Regions from separate parts of the Mus musculus genome. Here region 1 is reported to be linked to region 2. Evidence: microRNA targets listed by miRTarBase, many of them from high-throughput screens and not tested one by one. Region 2 holds a microRNA gene; the other region holds the end of a gene's coding sequence.

Region 1 (3,073 bases), not on the chromosome of region 2:
CTTGGGGTGGGGTGGAGGCTGGTCCACATAGGCCTCCTGCTTTTTCCTACAGCCCTTTCTGGGGCCCTTACCTCTGGACCTGCAACCCATGTTCAGTTGTGCCTTCATCCTAGAGTGCAGCCTGGGATTAGCAAGCATGGGGTCTTGCAACTGCCTTCAGTTGCAAGGAGACATAGCCAAGACCTGTGGTGGGTAACAGACCGGGTTCCCCTGCTCTGTCTGAGCACTACCTTACAGAAGTTCCACTGGAAACCTTTATGAGGTCCAGAAGCAGCAAGCCAAACTAGGACTCCAGAGTCCTGTCAAGTCTGTCAAGTCCTGTCACTTCTTACTGTGCTCTCTCTCCATAGGGCAGCCGTGCAGAGAGTAGTTGCTGCCATGAACCAGATGGACCAGAAGAAACACGAGAAGTTTGCAAACCAATTTAATTATGCGCTGAAGTAAAAGGGTGTGGGTGTGCTGAATATGCTGTGGTCCCCTTTGGCCGTCAGCTCTTCTCCGTTCGTTAGCTTACTAGGATAGGAAGGAGAATAGACTTAAGTCTGAGTAGAATCAGAGCTTGTTTTTTCTGTATGTAACAATGTAGTGATGCATTAAAATACTCTCCAGGAGGCCAGGGGATATGGTTTAGTGGTGAGGCCAGGGTTTGATTCCCAACCATTTTAACCACACATGTGGTACCTCACCTGTAATCCCAGCACTTGGACATAAACAGGACCTGAATCCTAGGCCAGTATGGATAACAGAGCAAGACTGCTTGAGAAACAAGAACAAAAAGCCAGATGAGGTGACGCACACCTGTAATTTTTACACTTAACAGGCAGGGCAGGAAGATCAATACAAGTTCAAAGCTAACCTAGTTGCCAGGCATGGTAGGCACATCTTTAATCCCAGCACTCAGAAGGCAAGGCAGGTGGATCTCTGAGTTTGAGGCCAGGCTGTTCTACAGAGTGAGTTCCAGGACAGCCAGGGCTACACAGAGAAACCCTGTCTTTAAAACAAACAAACAGCTAAGCTAGTCTAAGTTGTAAATTCTAAGCCAGCCAAACTTACATAAGCAGAGTATGTCTCTGAGGGAAAAAAATATCCCTTCAGGATGACGTACCTGCATTGGAGTTGGATAGGGGCAGGCACTCCATCTGGCCAGCCCTTGGGCAGTAAGTGTGTCCCTAGTGGTGCTATGTACTTTATGATGCCTTCAGCAATCCACCCTTTCATGCATATGCTGTTTAATACACATGTCCAGCTCCTGGCACCACTCTGGACCAGGTGTGTTGAGCCCTAACTCACATACCATGTAGTCACCCAGGTTATGCACAGTGTATAACAAGTGACTCCACTGGCTTCCAGAACTTTAGTGTTCAGACAAACTGCCTGACCACCTCGAAGCCCGCTTTCTCTTTCCATGCCTATGCATTTAGAGTAATTGGGTCTGCGGCTTTTGTTTTTGTTTTGAGATGTGGTCTCTTTATGTAGCTCTGGCAGTCTTAGAGCCCACAGTGTAGACCAGGCTGGTCTCCAACTCAGAGATCCTCCTGCCTCTGCCTCTTCAGTATTGAGATTAAGGGCGTGTACGATGGCTCCTGGCTGAGTATGCCCTTCTGTTCCAGCTTCTTTGCCTTTGAAGTTTCTTCCATGTTGTGATAGCAGTCCTTCAGTCCTGCTTCTTACACACACGGACCTCAGCAGAGGACAAGGGAGGTGGCTCAGCAGGTAAAGCACTTGCATGTAATTATGAGGACTGAGTCCATATAAAAGTCAAGTGGTTATGGTAATCTGCTTGTAATCCTGCCCTTGGTGAGAGGAGACAGGATCTCTGGGGCAAACTCAGTAAGGAGACTAGCCAAAATCAGTGCATTCTGGATTCAGCAAGAGACTCCGCCTCTGTAAATAGAGTGGAGAACAGTGAAGGGAAACACTCAACTACAACCTTTGGCCTATAATATGAAAATTCACATATGCCCATAGACATCTGCCCACACATAGGTAAACACACACACACACAAAATCACAGTGAATGGAGTCATATTTTGTCATTGCCACACCCACCCTCTCATTTGAGACATGGTCTCTCTTTGGAACCCTGACTGTCCGGTAACTCATTTTGTAGATCACGCTGGCCTCCAATTCAGAGATCCTCCTGCTTCTGCCTCCCAAGCCCCGGGACTAAAGGCGCCACCATGGCCTGTCTCCATGGATTTGTTATTGATGTTTGGTCTGTTCCTACCTTAGGGCTACCGTGAATATCTGTGCTTTTTTGTGTGTGGACAACTGTTTCTGTACATCACCGATGCGTATAGTAACCTCCTTGTGAGGGGCTAAGCTGTTGGATGGTGGCTGCACCATTTACACTCACTCTGCTCTGCTTCCTGAGGGCTTCATGCCATCACTGGTGTCTTTGTTTCTTTTGCTTTTCTGAGAATTCTATACAAGAGGACTGTGCTCACATCATTTCCACCTCTCCTGCCTTCTCCAGGTTCTCCCATGCCCTTTTTTCAAATTCATGATCTCTTCTTTGTCATCACATATGAAGACAGTTGCTGTTATCTTTAGCAGTCATTCTCACCGTCATGTTCTGGGAGGCAGCTAAGGGCAACAACATTCACCTATGTCATTTTGATAGTCTCTTAACTCCCTGGCCACAACTTAGGAGATTTCCTGTTCGTATACATGGACTTTTGTTAAATAGTGTCTACTTAAGGATTTTTTTAAAATCACATGATTATCTCAATAGATGCAGAAAACACCTTTGACAAAATCCAATATAATAAAATAATAAAAGTCCTAGAGAGACTAGGAACAGGGAACATGTAAAGGAAACCCATCAAAACAACAGCTGATTCCCAGTGGAAGTTGTAAAAGGCAGAAGAGTCTGGACCAGGGTACTTCAAGGTCTAAAAGACCATGGATACCAACTTACAGTACTGTACCCAGCATAACTTCCTGCCATAGTTGAAGGAAAGAGGAAAATGCTCTGTGGTATAAACACGCCAAAAGAATTCATGCCCACCAAACTGGTCCTAGAGAGGATACCAAAAGCAATTCTTTAGACTGAAGAGAGGAAAAAGGACAA
Region 2 (3,125 bases):
CCGTCAAGAAGGGGGCCTTCGAGCGCCTCTTTCAGGTGTGTGGGGCTGGCTGTGGTGGCTAGGGACACGAGGGGCCCGGAGAGAAGAAGGACACGTCGCTGCCTGCGTTCCGTGGCGCTGCCTTACCCGATCTCTTTGCAGCAACTGGAACACAGCCTGGATGCGCTCCATCTGAGCAGTTTTGGGCTGATGGACACAACTCTGGAGGAGGTGTTCCTCAAGGTGTCTGAAGAAGATCAGTCACTGGAGAACAGCGAGGCTGGTAAGAGCACCCAAGGCTGGCGGTCTGTCCAGCTACCCACAGAAGGCCCTGGGGACACTGCTTCTCTGTAAGTCTCTGGAAGTGGGGTCAGGATAGGCTCGTGGTGGATGGTATGGTAGCTCTGCCTACCTGTGAGTAGGTATGTGAATTAGAGGCTGGGATCAAGGCAGGGCCTGGGGTTATGGGAGGACACTAGGGACTGAGGTACTAAGATGTCCTGGAGAGGAGAGCCTTGGCCCAAGCCTTCCCTCCCTCACCGCCTCTGTTGTTTGCAGATGTGAAGGAGTCCCGGAAGGATGTGCTGCCTGGGGCAGAGGGCCTGACAGCTGTGGGGGGTCAAGCTGGCAACCTGGCTCGGTGCTCAGAGCTGGCACAGTCACAGGCATCGCTGCAGTCTGCATCCTCTGTGGGCTCTGCCCGTGGGGAGGAGGGCACCGGCTACTCTGATGGCTACGGTGACTACCGTCCCCTCTTTGACAACTTGCAGGACCCAGACAATGTCAGCTTACAAGGTGGAAGCCAATGGGGAAACTGGGGAGGGTCCAGAAGGGTGGCGTGGGACTGGCTATTTACCTCTGCCTCTCTGCACAGAGGCAGAGATGGAGGCCCTGGCTCAGGTGGGCCAGGGCAGCCGCAAACTCGAGGGCTGGTGGCTGAAGATGCGGCAGTTCCATGGGCTCCTGGTGAAGCGCTTCCACTGTGCTCGTCGGAACTCCAAAGCTCTCTGCTCTCAGATTCTGCTGCCTGCCTTCTTTGTCTGTGTGGCCATGACTGTGGCGTTGTCTGTCCCTGAGATTGGTAAGGGTGCCTGGCCCATGTGGTCTGGGGCGAGGCTACTGTCTTGCCCCTGGGTCTTGGCTTCATTTTTCTCCCAGCCCCCTGTAGAACAGTCCTGAGCTCCTCTCCTCACACTCTGAACCTTACTCAGGGGCTCATGAGAGGATCTGTCTCCTTAGGAGTCATCCCCACAAGCTCAGCCCTCTCTGTGTTAGGGCTGGGGCTGGCATCAGATAACTGCAGTCTGCTCAGGTCTCCGTATTCACCCATCAGGTGACCTACCTCCACTGGTCCTGTCACCCTCTCAGTACCACAACTACACCCAGCCCCGTGGCAACTTTATCCCTTATGCCAATGAGGAACGCCAGGAGTACCGGTGAGGCCGTGGGCTGGGGCTGTAGCACAGGGCAGGGCAAGAGTTGAGACTTATGGCTCCTAACTCACTGTCATGTCCTCAGATTACGGCTGTCACCTGATGCCAGCCCCCAGCAGCTGGTGAGCACATTCCGGCTGCCCTCTGGTGTGGGTGCCACTTGTGTGCTCAAGTCTCCTGCCAACGGCTCCCTGGGACCCATGCTGAACTTAAGCAGTGGAGAGTCCCGCCTGCTGGCGGCACGGTTCTTCGACAGTATGTGCCTGGAGTCCTTCACACAGGGGCTGCCACTGTCCAACTTCGTGCCACCTCCGCCCTCACCCGCCCCTTCTGACTCACCCGTGTCCCCAGATGAGGATTCACTGCAAGCCTGGAACATGTCCCTGCCACCTACTGCTGGGCCAGGTACTACCTCAGGGAAGGCTCCGGGGGGCACAGGCATGAGTGACCCATCTCATTGTGCTGCACTGTGCCCACAGAGACGTGGACGTCGGCGCCTTCTCTGCCACGCCTAGTGCATGAGCCAGTCCGCTGTACCTGCTCTGCACAGGGCACGGGGTTCTCATGCCCCAGCAGTGTGGGTGGACACCCACCCCAGATGAGAGTGGTCACAGGTGACATCCTGACTGACATCACTGGCCACAATGTTTCTGAGTACCTGCTCTTCACCTCTGACCGTTTCCGACTACACCGGTAAGTTGGCCTGAAGTGGCTGTGAACAAGGGGTGCCTGGCAGATGGCTGCCGAGCCTCAGTGACCCTCCCACCTGTCTTGTACAGATATGGAGCCATCACCTTTGGTAATGTTCAGAAGTCTATCCCAGCATCCTTTGGTGCCCGGGTCCCTCCTATGGTGCGGAAGATTGCAGTGCGGAGGGTGGCTCAGGTAGGCGGCTGCCCTTGGGTTTTGGGCACCTGGTCCTAAGCCTAATAACTTTTGGTTTCTGAGCCTCTCTGAGGTCCTTGCCCCTCCCCAGGTGCTCTACAATAACAAGGGCTACCACAGCATGCCCACCTACCTCAACAGCCTCAACAATGCCATTCTGCGTGCAAACCTACCCAAAAGCAAGGGCAATCCAGCAGCCTATGGTAAGGAGAATCAGGGTTGAAGGACAGGCAGGGATGCAGCTGAGCCGAATGGTTGCATGGACCTAAAGCTACCCTTTTCCCGTGTGCAGGCATCACCGTCACCAACCACCCCATGAACAAGACCAGTGCTAGCCTCTCCCTGGATTACCTGTGAGTGAGGCAGACCAAGTTGAGGAGGGGCAGGACCACCTCGTCCTGACACCTCCTGGAACTGAGTGCTGTCCCCTTCTAGACTGCAGGGCACAGATGTGGTCATCGCCATCTTCATCATTGTGGCCATGTCCTTCGTGCCAGCCAGCTTTGTGGTCTTCCTTGTGGCAGAGAAATCCACCAAGGCCAAACACCTGCAGTTCGTCAGCGGGTGCAACCCTGTCATCTACTGGCTGGCCAACTACGTGTGGGACATGGTGTGCCCCCGCATGGTCCCTCCCTGTCCCTGACTCCCATCCCTACGCCCGGGTCTCATCCTCCACCTTCACCTTTGCAGCTCAATTACCTGGTCCCAGCCACCTGCTGCGTGATCATCCTCTTTGTCTTTGACTTACCTGCCTACACATCACCCACCAACTTCCCCGCGGTGCTCTCCTTGTTCCTGCTCTATGGGTGAGCTGGGGAGGGGTGTGGA

What was found. The annotated mature microRNA mmu-miR-3087-3p reads UAACUCACUGUCAUGUCCUCA and lies in region 2 at 1,476-1,496, shown strand. An mRNA with a match to its seed (bases 2 to 7 or 8) in the 3' UTR can be bound and repressed. Matches are read on the target gene's strand: a 7mer-m8 pairs with bases 2 to 8, a 7mer-A1 pairs with bases 2 to 7 and ends in A, and an 8mer does both.
Region 1: miRTarBase lists Uvssa as a target of mmu-miR-3087-3p. Seed matches in the 3' UTR shown: 7mer-m8 at 951-957.

What each region holds. Positions count from the first base shown.
Region 1 is chr5:33,414,448-33,417,520 of GRCm38, forward strand. It overlaps Uvssa (UV stimulated scaffold protein A), which reads left to right. Exons shown (of 14, transcript NM_001081101.2): 14 at 351-3,073. The coding sequence ends at 444. Among named protein-coding and RNA genes, the nearest start is that of Nkx1-1, 18 kb to the right of the region's middle.
Region 2 is chr2:25,441,338-25,444,462 of GRCm38, forward strand. Mir3087 (microRNA 3087) reads left to right here and starts at 1,442; the gene lies at 1,442-1,497. Abca2 (ATP-binding cassette, sub-family A (ABC1), member 2) reads left to right here. Exons shown (of 49, transcript NM_001368624.1): 25 at 1-35; 26 at 142-262; 27 at 538-774; 28 at 854-1,060; 29 at 1,313-1,415; 30 at 1,498-1,817; 31 at 1,892-2,105; 32 at 2,192-2,297; 33 at 2,389-2,500; 34 at 2,590-2,650; 35 at 2,733-2,907; 36 at 2,988-3,103.